Linked DNA regions of Anolis sagrei. The protein of the gene in region 1 purifies or fractionates together with the protein of each later gene. This does not show direct contact. Links are inferred from orthologs where the notes say so. Each region holds a gene or a part of one and is shown on either strand. Other genes may lie near its edges.

The links.
Region 2: the proteins of MAPK6 (region 1) and enoyl-CoA delta isomerase 2-like purify together in Homo sapiens (affinity purification with mass spectrometry; 3 studies listed by BioGRID and IntAct, with this or other methods). This does not show direct contact. The link is inferred for Anolis sagrei from reciprocal best matches to the Homo sapiens genes MAPK6 and ECI2.

The regions. Positions count from the first base shown.
Region 1 is NC_090029.1:20,628,642-20,636,242, reverse strand, and holds the start of MAPK6 (mitogen-activated protein kinase 6), read left to right. Parts: upstream 1-4,513; 5' UTR 4,514-4,675; intron 4,676-7,601. UniProt on the Homo sapiens protein: Atypical MAPK protein. Phosphorylates microtubule-associated protein 2 (MAP2) and MAPKAPK5.
Region 2 is NC_090024.1:86,837,016-86,844,883, reverse strand, and holds the start of enoyl-CoA delta isomerase 2-like, read left to right. Parts: upstream 1-4,767; 5' UTR 4,768-4,793; coding exon 4,794-4,858; intron 4,859-7,868. UniProt on the Homo sapiens protein: Able to isomerize both 3-cis and 3-trans double bonds into the 2-trans form in a range of enoyl-CoA species. Has a preference for 3-trans substrates.

The DNA.
Region 1 (7,601 bases):
AACTTTTTTTCTGGCTACGGCCCTGCTCATCATGTCTCCTCTCAGCCTTCTCTTCTGCAGGCTAAACATGCCCAGAGCTTTAAGCCACTCCTCACAGGGCTTGTTCTCCAGACCCTCGATCCTTTGAGTCGCCCTCCTCTGGACACATTCCAGTTTTCCAACATCTCCCTTCAATTGCGGTGCCCAAAATTGGACACAGTGATATTCCAGGTGTGGTCTGACCAAGGCGGAATAGAGCATGGGGAGCATGACTTCCCTGCTCTTTCAGCCGCCCCTCATAGGGCTTGTTCTCCAGACCCATTATCCTTTGGGTCGCCCCCCTCTGGACACATTCCAGCTTGTCAACTTCTCCCTTCAATTGTGGTGCCCAGAACTGGACACAGTGATATTCCAGCTGTGGTCTGACCAAGGCAGAATAGAGGGGGAATGGAACATGACTCCCCCGCTCTTCATCGGGCTTGTTCTATAGACCCTTGATCTGCTCCCTCCTCCCTATGACTTCCTCTCACATACTTATACATGGCCCTCATCATGTCTCCTCTTGGCCTTCTCTTCTGCAGGCGAAACATGCCCAGATCTTTAAGCCACTCCTCATAGGGCTTGTTCTCCAGACCCTCAATTCTTTGAGTCACCCTCCTCTGGACACATTCCAGTTTGCCAACATCTCCCTTCAACTGTGGTGCCCAGAATTGGACACAGTAATATTCCAGGTGTGGTCTGACCAAGGCGGAATAGAGGGGGAACATGACTTCCCTGCTCTTTCAGCCACTCCTCATAGGGTTTGTTCTCCAGACCCTTGATCTGCTCCCTCCTCCCTATGACTTCCTCTAACATAATTATACATGGCTCACATTATGTCTCCTCTCAGCCTTCTCTTCTGCAGGATAAACAGGCCCAGATCTTTAAGCCACTCCTCATAGGGCTGGTTCTCCAGACCCATTATCCTTTGAGTCGCCCTCCTCTGCACAAATTCCAGCTTGCCAACATCTCCCTTCAATTGTGGTACCCAGAATTGGACACAGTGATATTCCAGGTGTGCTCCAGGTATTCCAAGGCGGAATAGAGGGGAAACATGACTTCCCTGCTCTTTCAGCCGCTCCTCATAGGGTTTGTTCTCCAGACCCTTGATCTGCTCCCCCCTCCCTATGACTTCCCCTCACATATTTACACATGGTCCTCATCATGTCTCCTCTCGGCCTTCTCTTCTGCAGGCTAATCTTCCCTTTTTTATCAAGACCACCCAAAGTCTGTTTGCAACCACCGGTGTGCAATATTTATTTGGAAAGTCTGGGCACAGAGTGTTCTCTTGTCCTCCTTCTGCAATTAGGAACATTTCTGAGACCTTTGACTCTTCAGGGAAGAGACAAAACAGACTGTAACACCTCAGTTAAGGATGCCTCCGTATCCTGATCCTTCAAAAAGTCATCTGCGTCCCAACATAGCCAGCGTTTATGCAGAACGGTTGGATAAAATGATGCCAACCCAACACAACCCGACTTGGGTAGGCTTGCAACTTTTCATCCATCTGCTTCTCTTCAGCAGCATTTATTCCTCTGGCTCAGTGGTGGTTTTTCCATTCCTTGGGGTTACTGAGCACCCAGCCCACTTTCCAGACACACCGAGGTCTTTTGCAAACCAAACAGCTGCAATTTTAAATCAGTTTTGGATCAGTGCCTGGTGGTTCCACCACTGTCAACTACAATCCCATAATTTTACCTAGCCAGCTTGCTGGAGGGGTCTGGGTATGGTACTTTGCAAAATAATCTGCCACCCTTTTTTTCTCCCCACAAATCCTAGCAAATGAGTCAAGTTGTTTTGGTTATCTTTTTAATAATCTTTTCTGCTTTTTATTGTGCCAGAAATGAATTAAGAAACTGCAAGTTGCTTCTGGTGTGAGAGAATTGGCCATATAAAGCAACAGATACCTATGTATAAGTTTTACGTTGTTCTGTAATTCAGTGATAATTGATTTAGTGAGAGAATTGGCCATCTGCAGAGAAGTTGCCCAGGGGACGCCTGGATGTATTACCATCCTGTGGGAGGCTTCTCTCATGTCCCTGCATGGGAAGTTGGAGCTGACAGACAGGAGCTCACCCTGCTTCCTGGAATTGAGTAGAGTAGTCTTCCAAGATCGGTGTACTGGCAGTGGGTCCGTAGGTGACTGCGGAGCCCTATTCTTGATTTACATGTTCTCCCGCAGTGAGGACATCGGTTTCCAGGTGGAAGGCACTCTCAGTTGGGGTTGGATTGACGTGCCTTCCTCTTGGCACGTTTCTCTCTTTCGCCCTCCATTCATGTCTCTTCAAATTCTGCAGCACTGCTGGTCACAGCTGACCTCCAGCTGGAGCGCTCAAGGGCCGGGGCTTCCCAGTTTTCAGTGTCTATGCCAGAGTTTTTAAGGTTGGCTTTGAGCCCATCTTTAAATCTCTTTTCCTGCCAACCAACATTCCGTTTCCCGTTCTTGAGTTCGGAGTAGAGCAACTGCTTTGGGAAACGGTGGTCGGGCATCCAGACGTGGCCGGTCCAGCGGAGGACCATTGCTTCGATGTTGGTGGTCTTTGCTTCTTCCAGCACGCTGACATTTGTCCTCTTGTCTTCCCAAGAGATTTGCAGGAGCCAACGCTGATGGAATCATTCCTGGAGTTGCATGTGGCATCTGTAGATAGTACACGTTTTGCAGGCATATGGCAGCGTTGGGAGGACAATAGCTTTACAAACAAGCACTTTGGTCTCCCTACGGATGTCCCAGTCCTCAAACACTCACTGCTTCATTCGGAAAAAAGCTGCACTCACAGAGCTCAGGCAGTGTTGCATTTCAGTGTCAATGTTGATGTCTGTAGACTGTCCACGTTTCGCAGGCATATAGCGGGGTTGGGAGGACAATAGCTTTGTAAACAAGCACCTTGGTATCTCTACGGATGTCCCAGTCCCCAAACATTCTCTGCTTCATTCGGAAGAATGCTGCACTTCCAGAGCTCAGGCAGTGTTGTATTTCTGTAGACAGTCTACAGATAATCAACGTCTTGCAGGCGTATGGCAGAGTTGGGAGGACAACAGCTTTATAAGCAAGCACCTTGGTCTCCCTATGGATGTCCCGGTCCTCAAACACTCTCTGCTTCATTCGGAAAAATGCTGCACTCGCAGAGTTCAGGTGGTGTTGTATTTCAGTGTTAACGTTGACTTTGGTGGAGAGGTGGCTGCCAAGGGAGTGGAAAAGGTCAACATTTTCTAATGTTACACCATTAAGCTGTATTCCTGGCATTGGAGAGGGATTGGCTGTTTCAATATATTGCAATATTTTGGTGCCAAATTTGTAAATACAACAATTACTACCTAACGTTACCATGTAGTACTGTACAGAACTGCTTTTTCTGTCAATTTGTTGTAAAACATGATGCTTTGGAGCTTAATTTGCAAAATCATAACATAATTTGGCATTTAATAGGCTTTTCCTGGATCCCTCCTTATTATCCAAGCTTTTCGCTTATCCAACGTTCTGTCGGCCTGTCTATGTTGGATAAGCGAGACTCTACTATATCGCACTCCTGTGATTTCAATGGTAATTTCAGCTTTTTTGTTACCTAGGTAAAGGTAAAGGTAAAGGTAAAGGTTTTCCCCTGACATGAAGTCCAGTCGTGTCCGACTCTGGGGCATGGCGCTCATCTCCATTTCTAAGCCAAAGAGCCGGCATTGTCCGTAGACACCTCCAAGGTCATGAGGCCGGCATGACTACATGGGGCGCCGTTACCTTCCCGCAGAGGCGGCCCTATGTAATTTTCAACGGTAAACAAACAGTTACCCCCTCTCCCCCCCCCCCCCCCACCAATCACTGATATATATTTTCTGTTTGTCGTGGGAGTTCTGTGTGCCATATTTGTTTCAATTTCATCATTGGTGGAGTTCAGAATGCTCTTGGATTGTAGGTGAACTATACATCCCAGTAACTACAACTCGCATATGTCAAGGTCTATTTTCCCCCAAGAGCGCCTCAAGAGCGCTCCTGGGCAAATCAACTATACTGCAAATGCTTACTTTGCGTAATGGGTTGAGCTGCCCCTGCCTTCCCGCCGGAGCGACACCTATGGATCTACTCCCATTTGCATGTTTTTAAACTGCTAGGTTGGCAGAAGCTGAGGCTGACAGCAGAAGCTCATGCCGCTCCCAGGATTCAAACCTGCGACCTTTCAGTCAACAAGCTCAGCAGCTCAGCGCTTTAACCCACTGCGCCACCGAGGTTACCTGGTTGTCCTAAAAGCACAAGTTTTGACCCTGACAACCTTGGTGTCCTTTAGCCAAGAGTCCTTTTGGCTGCGCCTGACCGCCGGCACACTCTCCTCTTGCTCTCCATCCAGTTCTGGGCTTGGCAGCCTTGCTCTGCTGGAGACCCGGGAGGCCTCTCTGGCAAGATCTCTGCCCCAAGGCCTGCCTCCTCGGCTCATTTGAATATCAGAATGAATTACTGCGAGTATAACAGCTGTGGACACAGAGCTCATGTCAGAGCAGTTGAACTTTCCTCTCCTCCACGACTATTTTGGACCAGCCGTCTTCTGGTTGACCTTTTGCGCTTCGCTCGGAGTGATTATTCCAAAATTCTGCAAACAAACTCTTCCTATTTCTTTCTCTTTTTTCTTTTCCAACATGAGACCCAAGACAGGGCAAGGCAGCTGCAAGAATGGTGAGTTGCAGACACCTGCTTTCCCTTTGCTTTCATTCCATAGACGCTGGAACTACAAAAAGGGGCAGCAGTAGAATCCTAGGCTGGATCTGCACGGCCTTATCATCCAGTTTTAGAAGGTGGATTAACTGCATTGAACTGGTTTCTACATTGCCAATCCAATGCACTTGATCCACATTCTGAAACTGGATTATAGGGCAGTGTACATCCAGCCATAGACTTTAAATAGGGCAGTCATATATGCCATCAAAAATTAAATGTGCATATTGTTATTATTATTATGTTTAGTTATATCCCACTTTTTAAATTATTATGATTATTATTATTATGTTTATTTATATCCCACTTTTTCTCTCCAACTGGATTATAGGGCAGTGTACATCCAGCCATAGACATTAAATAGGGTAGTCATGTATATGCCATCAATAATTAATTTTGCATATTATTATTATTATTATGTTTATTTATATCCCGCTTTTTCTCTCCAACTGGATTATAGGGCAGTGTACAACCAGCCATAGACTTTAAATAGGGCAGTCATATATAGGCCATCAAAAATTTAATTTGCATATTATTATTATTATTATGTTTAGTTATATCCCACTTTTAAAATTATTATTATTATTATTATTATTAATGTGTTTATTTATATTCCACTTTTTCTCTCCAACTGGATTATAGGGCAGTGTACATCCAGCCATAGACTTTAAATAGGGCAGTCATATATATGCCATCAAAAGTTAAATTTGCATATTATTATTATTATAATTAGCCACCCCATGCCACGCGTTGCTGTGGCCCAGTCGAGTGATCTGGAAAATAAAGTAATCCTTGTGGGTAAACAGTATTTTGAATAAGATAGTCATGTATATGCCATCAAAAATTAAATTTACTTCTTCTTCTTCTTTTTCTTCTTCTTATTATTATGTTTATTTATATCCCACTTTTTTCTCTCCAACTGGATTATAGGGCAGTGTACATCCAGCCATAGACTTTAAATAGGGCAGTCATATATAGGCCATCAAAAATTTAATTTGCATATTATTATTATTATTATTATTATTATGTTTAGTTATATCCCACTTTTAAAATTATTATTATTATTATTATTATTATTATGTTTATTATGTTTATTTATATCCCACTTTTTCTCTCCAACTGGATTACAGGGCAGTGTACATCCAGCCATAGACTTTAAATAGGGCAGTCATATATATGCCATCAAAAATTAAATTTGCATATTATTATTATTATTATTATTATTAGCCATCCTTTGCCACGCGTTGCTGTGGCCCAGTCGAGTGATCTGGAAAATAAAGTAATGCTTGTGGGTAAACAGTATTTTGAATAAGATAGTCATGTATATGCCATCAAATATTAAATTTACTTCTTCTTCTTCTTTTTCTTCTTATTATTATTATGTTTATTTATATCCCACTTTTTTCTCTCCAACTGGATTACAGGGCAGTGTACATCCAGCCATAGACTTTAAATAGGGCAGTCATATATATGCCATCAAAAATTAAATTTGCATATTATTATTATTATTATTATTATTATTATGATGTTTATTTATATCCCACTTTTTCTCTCCAACTGGATTATAGGGCAGTGTACATCCAGCCATAGACTTTAAATAGGGTAGTCATATATATATGCCATCAAAAATTAAATTTGCATATTATTATTATTATTAGCCACCCCCTGCCATGCGTTGCTGTGGCCCAGTCTAGTCATCTGGAAAATAAAGTAATGCTTGTGGGTAAATAGTATTTTGAATAAGATAGTCCTGTATATGTCATCAAAAATTAAATTTGCATATTATTATTATTATTATTATTATTATGTTTATTTATATCCCACTTTTTCTCTCCAACTGGATTATAGGGCAGTGTACATCCAGCCATAGACTTTAAATAGGGTAGTCATGTATATGCCATCAAATATTAAATTTGCATATTATTATTATTATTATTATTATTAGCCATCCCATGCCACATGTTGCTGTGGCCCAGTCTAGTGATCTGGAAAATAAAGTAATGCTTGTGGGTAAACAGTATTTCTTGCTGTTTCTTTGCCAGTGTTGATGTGGAGATTGTCTGGTTTGCCCACCCTGGAACATGCAACATATAATTGTCCTTCTTTAGGGGTCCCTTTCAAATCTAGGATACTACATCTGTGTGTGTGTGTGAATCATATCTATCTATCTATATCTATGGCTGGATGGCTCTTTGTCAGGAGGGCACTGATTACATTTTCTTGCCCTGATGAAGAGAGTTAGACTGGATGGCCTTAAGTATTGTCTGTTGGTCATGAGGGTTCTATGTGGGAAATTTTCCCCAATTCTGTCGTTTGTGGGATTCAGAATGCTCTTTGATTGTAGGTGAACTATACATCCCAATAACTACAAATCCCAAATGTCAAAGTCTATTTCCCCCAAACTCCATCTGCGTTCATATTTGGGCATATAGAATATCCGTGCCAAGTTTGGTCCAGATCCATCATTGTTTGAGTCCACAGTGATCTCTGGATGTAGGTAAGCTACAACTCCCAAATTCAAGGTCAATGCCCACCAAACCCTTCTAGTGTTTTCTAGTGTCATGGGAGTCCTGTATGCCACGTTTGGTTCAATGCCATAATTGGTGGAGTTCAGAATGCTCTTTGATTGTAGGTGAACTATACATCCCACCAACTACAACTCCCAAATGTCAAGGTCTATTTTTCCCAAACCACACCAGTGTTCACATTGGGGCATACTGAGTATTCATGCCAAGTTTGGTCCAGATACTTCATTGTTTGAGTCCACAGTGCTCTCTGGATGAAGGTGAACTACAACTCCAAAACTCAAGGTCAATGCCCACCAAACCCTGTCTGTTGGTTGTGGGAGTTTTGTGTGCCAAGTTTGGTTAAATTCCATCATTGACAT
Region 2 (7,868 bases), on another chromosome or scaffold:
TAGGAAGGAGAACGCTAATTAATTTAATATTAAAGTTGTAAAACATAAGGTGTAGGGGGAAATTTCCACTGAACACAGTAAGACTCAACAAACTTCAATATCAGGCAATAGTGAAAGGTTTCTGAACTGGACCCTTTATAAAAAAATCTATTAGGAACAACATGTAATGTTTACAGTGGCCTCTGCAGAAATGTTTCAGCTACTGTCCACTAAAAGGAAAATCTGTCTTTTGAGCAAGCTTTCCTAATGCTGAGTCATTATCAGTAAATGTTTGATTTAAATACCTATTTTATATACCTATATACCTGAGGTCATGTAAAAAAATTATCAGGTGGAAAGAGGTTGCAAGCAGAAAAACATTTTAAGATGCACAGGTTTATTGCACATTATTGATTTAACACGCCAACTGCTTTTTCAGTTTCTAAAAATGGAATAGGATAAAACTATTTGCAATGGGCTAAAGGCTGAGTATTCCTTATCCATAATTCAAAATGCTCCAAAGCCAACAATTTTGAAACGACAAGATATACGTATCTCTGCTGTATTTGCAAAGCTAGAGATGGACAAGGCTGGAGAAAGACACAAGAAATCGTGAAATATCAGGAATCCACATCTCCTGCTATAGATCTTTTCATCTCTCCCCATCTGAACAAGTGAACATGTGTGCTGTACCTTCCATCTCAAAAGTAGAATAATAATAATAATAATAATAATAATAATAATAACTACCAAAGGCCACCTTACTTGGATCTGCATGCATCATTCACAAATACACCACACAGTCCTAGATGCTTGGGAAGTGTTCAACTTGTGATTTTGTGATATGTGACATACTGTGTTTTTGTGTAAGTAAAATAATATTAACACTTTATTTATATTCCGACAGATTACAGTATGTAAATAAACACAAGCAAACATTAAATGCCTTGTTACAGTGAAGTACAATACAACGACATTCAAATACATAGGCAAAGGCAAAAGCTTCTCCTTTCATTTTTGGCTCTTGGAGGCAGTACTCATCTCCTGCTCTGGGGGAGGTGCTCATTTCCATTCCCAACCCAAGGAGCCTGCGTTATCCATAGACACCTCCTGGTTGTGTGCTTGGAATGACTACATGGGGCATCTTTTTGCCTTTTCCCACTGAGGCAGTATCCATTGATCTACTCACATTTGCATGTTTTCGAATTGCTAGGTTGACAGGAGGTAGGACTAACACAGCAGGAGCTCACCCCACCTCACAAATTTGAACTACCGACCTTCAAGTCAGGAGTTCAGCAGAACAAAGGCGCCACTCGCGGCCCCTTTGGAAGTGGGTATCTTGCACCCCTGACACAGCCAAGGTTGGCTACGATTACTAGGTTTTTATCCACAGAAGACTGGAGTGGGAAACACACTGATTGAGATGTGTGGAAGGAATGGGGAGAAGAAAATTGGGCTGGGTTTTATTTGCATGGGGTCCCCTCTGGGTCAAGGCTGGAGAAAATCTCCAGCCGTTGCTACTGCCGCATCCCACTCTACATCTACGTCAGCTTGGGAATGGCTGTGGATGAACACCAGCAGGAGCCACTGTGGCTATTTGTGCAAAGTTTGGCTGCAAACTCAACTTACTGTACGTCATCTCCACTCCTCCTGCTCCTCTTCTTTCTCTGGGAGTGGAAAGCGTACGAAGAATGGGCTCATGGTGGCTGGAGATTACCACCACTTCTACTGTCAACCTATGTCATTTTTTATACAGGCACCTATACTGTATGTGAACACTTCTGGTCCCAACTATTTCGGATAAGGGATACCAAAATTATATTCGGTGCAGAAGGGAATAGAAATTAGCAATTTGCTGTTTTAGCTTTCACCAAGCTGATGGGTTTGTAGGCAGTAGGCCCACTTTTGGAGACAGTAAATTAGTGATGGAAGCTGTGGGAGTAGCTCATCCCTGATTTTCTGCACTTCTCTCATCTCAGTAATTGTATATTTGGACTATGTTATCACTACTGATAACACAGCTAAGCATCGTGCCAAAAATGCCAAGAATGAGTATCAAGTTCTATTTCAATACTGCTAAAACTTTCACTTGAATATATTATGCAGATTTCACAAATATGAATGCATTTGAATGCTCTTTTGAATGCACAAATCTGCCAGGCAGGAAAAGAAACAAGTATTTGTTGATAGGGATTAGCACTTCTTATGTACTCTTTGGAGTGCCTTGGACCGCGAGAAGAAACCAGTCCATACTCCTGGAAATAAAGCCCGACTGCTCAATGGAGGGAAGAATATTAGAGGCAAAGATGAAGTACTTTGGGCACATCACAAGAAGACAGGAAAGTTTGGAGAAGACAATGGAAAATGGAAGGAAAAAGGAAGAGCGGTTGACCAAGGGCAAGATGGATGGTTGGATGGGCCAGAGGTTTAGCACAGCTGGAAAATCACCAGCAACTGTAAGATCTATCAACCGAAAGGTTGCAAGTTCAAAGCCCTGGGTTGGCGTGAGCAGCCGACTGTCAGCCCTGCTCACTGATTACCTAAGAAGTTCAAAAACAGCTTTAGCTGTAATTAGAGAAATTAGGTACCGCTAAAAGTGGGGGAGGTGTTTTACAACTCCATAAAGAAAGATCAGGTAATGTTGGCCACCCAAAAGGAAGGAGGAGGAAGTCCAAATGGCTCTTTGTCATAGAGGATGCCGCAACAACACCCTCTGTGGCTGGACTCAAGCCCAACCTTCCATGGCATCAAAACAACACAACTTCTTTCTGTTCTGTCTGTCTATATACTGTCTATACAAAGCGGCATTGAATGTTTGCCTTGTATGTGTACTGTGATCTGCCCTGAGTCCCCTTTGGGGTGAGAAGGGTGGAATATAAATATATTATTATTATTATTATTATTATTATTATTATTGCAACCTTGAAGTCACTGGCTTGACCTTGAAGGAGCTGGGGGTGGCCACGGCCAACAGGGAGCTCTGGCGTGGGCTGGTCTATGAGGTCACGAAGAGTTGGAAGTGACTGAATGAAGAAACAACAAAAAGTGTACCACACATCACCTCTGGGAGTCCACCTTGACCTTGGTGCTCTTGCTGCTCCTCCTCAATGGCCAGAGATCTCTGTGTGAGCACCTGGCCATCACTTGTCCTATCTGTTGTTGCACAGAAGCTGGGTTGTCCAAGAGATCACCAAGAGTTGGATTATACATATTATATATTTATTCTAAATATTATAGATTTATATTTTTTGAAAATTTTATAGTCTATTTATATTTTAATCATTTAATATTTATATATATACTTTTTTGGAGCCCCCGGTGGCGCAGTGGGTTAAACCTTTGAGCTATTGAACTTGCCGATCGTAAAGGTTGCCAGTTTGAATCTGGGGAGTGGGGTGAGCTCCCGCTGTTAGCCCCACCTTCTGCCAACCTAGCAATTCGAAAACATGCAAATGTGAGATCAATAGGTACCGCTTCTGCGGGAAGCTAACGGCGCTCCATGAGGTCATGCCAGCCACATGGCCTTGGAGGTATCTACGGACAATGCCAGCTTTTTGGCTTAGAAATGGAGATGAGCACCAACCACCAGAGTCGGACATGACTGGACTTAATGTCAGGAGAAAACTTTTACCTATATACTTTTTTAAAATACTGGAAGAGTTTTGTAAACATTTGCAATGGCTGTTTCTGCAAGAGGGGCTTCAGCCCCCCCCCCCCCAAATTCTCATGGTGGTTCGCGAAAAGGCCTTACTGGTGCATTATTTAAACTGTTGTTTATTCATATCATGATCTGATCACCATACTCAATATATCCCATATGCATGGGGGTATTGGGGTAATGATACAAAAGGTTTGCTAAGCTAGACCCTCTTTCACTCAGACTCAGCCCCCCCGAAAAAAATTAGCCCCCCTCCACCCGAAACGAAATCCTGGCTACGGGCCTGCCTCCAAGGTCACGTTTCCAGCATGAGCCGGCGTTATCTGTAGACGCCTCCAAGTTCATGAAGCCAGCATGTGCTGGCATTGTCTGTAGACACCTCCACGTTCATGCGGCCAGCATGAGCCAGCGTTGTCTGTAGACGCCTCCAAGGTCATGCGGCCAGCATGAGCCGGCGTTGTCTGTAGACGCCTCCAAGGTCATGTGGCCAGCATCAGCCAGCATTGTCTGTAGACACCTCCAAGGTCACGTTTCCAGCATGAGCCGGCGTTATCTGTAGACGCCTCCAAGTTCATGAAGCCAGCATGTGCTGGCATTGTCTGTAGACACCTCCACGTTCATGCGGCCAGCATGAGCCAGAGTTGTCTGTAGACGCCTCCAAGATCATGTGGCCAGCATGACTGCATGAAGCGCCGTTACCTTCCCGCAGAAGTGGTACCTATTGATCTACTCACATTTACATGTTTTCGAACTGCTAGGTTGGCAGAAGCTGAGGCTAACAATGGGAGCTCACCCCGTCCACGGATTCGAACCTGCAACCTTTCCGTTAACAAGTTTAGCGGCTCAGTGGTTTAACCCACTGCGCCACCGGGGCCTCCGTACAGATTAATAATACAGAGTCAAAGTGCGGTGCTAATGAGAGTCCCAGTCCGCCCTCTCCTCCCATCCCTTCCTGGAAACTGCAACCCTGAAAGGCGAGCGCAGCAGCAGCAGCAGCATCAGCCATTGAGGGCGAGCCATCCCTGCTGGGAGCCCGCCTTTGCCCTCCCGAGGCTCCTCCCCTTCGGGCCCGGCCGAGCGAGCAGCCCTCGCGGAGCGGCTTCGCCTCCTCTCCTTCCCGGCAGGTAGGCGCTGCTGTGCCCTCTCCTTGGCCGCCATGCCTGGCTGTGGTGCTTCTGCCGCCGCCAGGCTCCTGAGCCGGACTCCTTGGCGCCCTCGCCGGTGAGCCTGCTCCCCCTCCCCCTCTCTCTGGGCGCCGCAGCAGACAGAAGCAGCAAGGCCCTCTCTCTGTGTGTGTTTCTCCTTTGCCCACAAGGCTCCCTTCTGGCAAGAGGCGCCCCCGGCTGAGCGTTAGACAGTTTGAAAGTTGGAGAGCCCTACTTATTATAGGACTGCCAGGCGCAATATGGGTCCCTTATTATAAGGGATATCAGGCATTTCAGGGTTAGGCCCCCTTCTACACTGCCATATGAAATCCAGATTATTTGCTTTGGACTTGATTATAGGGCAGTGAAGGCTCAGATAATCCAGTTCAAAGCAGATAACCTAGATTATATGACAGTGTAGAAAGGGCCTTAGATTGGATCTACACTGCCCTATATGCCAGGTTCTGATCCCAGATTATCTGCTTTGAATTGGATCATATGACAGTGCAGGCTCAGAAAATCCAGTTCAAATCAGATAATCTGGATTAAATGACAGTGTAGAAAGGGTCTTAGACTGGATCTACACAGCACTATGTCCCAGGTTCTTATCCCAGATCATCTGCTTTGAATTGGATTATAGGAGTCCAAACTGCCAGATAATCTAGTATAGAAAATAATCTGGGATCAGATCCTGGGATGTAGGGCAGTGTGGATACAGCCTTAGGGCCCTTCTACACAGCTGTATAAAATCCAGATTATTTTCCTTGAGCTGGATTATATGGCAATGCTGTTTCAGATAATCCAGTTCAAATAAAATAATCTGGATTATATAGAGGTGTAGAACGGGCCTTAGATTGGATCTACACTGCATTATATCCCAGGTTTCGATCCCAGGTTTGAACTGGATTATATGAGTCTACATTGCCAGATAATCTGGAATAAAAAATAACCTGCGACCAGATCTTGGGATGTAGGGCAGTGTAGATCCAGCCTTAGGCCCCTTCCACACATCTGTGTAAAATCCAGATTATCTGCTTTAAACTGGATTATATAACAGTGTCCAGCTCAAAGCAGATAATGTGGGTCATCTGCTTTGATAATCTGGATTATATGGCAGTTTAAAAAGGGCTTTAGACTGGATCTATACTGCCCTATATCCCAGGTTCTGATCCCAAATGATCTGTTTTGAACTGGATTATATGAGTCTATACTGCTACATAATCTGGAATAAGAAGATAATAGGGATCAGATCCTAGGATGAAGGGCAGTGTAGCTCCAGCGTTAGGCCCCTTCAACACAGCTGTATAAAATCCAGATTATTTGCTTTGAGCTGGATTATATGGCAGTGTGGACTCATATAATCCAGTTCAAAGCAGATAATGTGGGTTATCTACTTTGATAATCTGGATCAAATGGTAGTGTAGAAGAAGGGACCTTAGACTGGATCTAACTTCTTTATATCTCATATTCCCATTTCAGATTATCTGCTTTGAACTGGATTATATGAGTCTACTTTGCCATATAATCTGGGATAAGAAGATAATAGGGATCAGATCGTGGGATGTAGGGCAGTGTAGATCCAGTCTAAAGCCCCTTCTAGACTGCCATGTAAATCAGATTATCAAATCAGATAACCCACATTATGAGTTTTGAACTGGATTATATATAAACCTACAATGCCATATAGGCCCGTTCCACACAGCTGTATAAAATCCTCACTGAACTGGGTTACATGGTTAGTTCAATTGAAATCAATATTTTCATTTGGTATTTAGGTAGAACTCAAACCTGTTGGCAGCTAGTACTACCTGATTACCATCTTTGCGTCTCATAAATACAGGGAGTATCCCTTATTGCTGGTTTGAAAATGTGGCAACTTTACTGTCAGGAGAAGCAATAACCAACTTCTGCTTCTCTCCTGTGAAGAGGAGGAGGAAGGAGGACTTATATAAATTATATTTATTTATATACCACTTTTTTCACAGGAACAGAGGTGCAAAGCAGTCCCCAACCTTTGAAAATTATATACACTTTAAAAACCTAAAAATATAACCATTGCAATAGAATTAAATGCTGCAGTTGTTAAAACTATTCCATATAGGACCAGGTGGAAGGCGGTCCCGGTTGAGGTTGACTTGACGCGCCTTCTCTTGGCATGTTTCTCCCTTTCGCCCTCCATTCATGCCTCATCAAATTCTGCAGCACTGCTGGTCACAGCTGACCTCCAGTTAGAATGTTCAAGGGCCAGAGCTTTCCAGTTCTCAGTGTCTATCCCACAGTTTTTAAGGTTGACTTTAAGCCCGTCTTTAAATACTGTAGAATTAATACAGTTTGACACCACTTTAACTGCCATGAATCTGTTATGGAATCATGGGAGTTGTAGTTTGACAAGTTCTTCATCTTCCTCTGCCAAAGAGTTCTGTTGCCTCAACGAACTACGACTGCCATGATTCCATAACATTGAGCCATGGGCATTTAGAATGGTGTCCAACTGCATTCATTCTACAGTGTAGATGCACCTTACTTAATCAAATCAGGAAGTAGTTTTTGCACAAACCTTAAACTACAACATATTATTTTTTAGAAATTCAGCACAGAAGAAAAAAAAAATACCAACATGTGATTTAGATAATGTATGATCGCTGTGGGCATAAACTTTAGGTCTTGTTGAGGTAGAAAATCTTTATCTAAGCAGTTATTTTGACGTTTTTGTGATATGGACTGAAGAAATCTTACAGTATATCATGTAATCAAAACATCCAGGTGTCCCCTGGGCAATGTCCTTGCAGACAACCAATTCTCTCACACCAGAAGCAACTTGCAGTTTCTCAAGTTGCTCCTGAGACAAGAAAAAATTAATAAAAGGAACGGCAAAACTATTCTGTCCATAGTATAGGGCAGGGCTCCTCAAACTTTTTAAACAGAGGGCCAGGTCACAGTCCCTTAAACTGTTGGAGGGCCGGATTATAATTTGAAAAAAAACATGAATGAATTCCTATGCACACTGCACATATCTTATTTGTAGTGCAAAAGCACTTCAAAATAATACAATAATTAAAATGAAGAACAATTTTAACAAATACAAG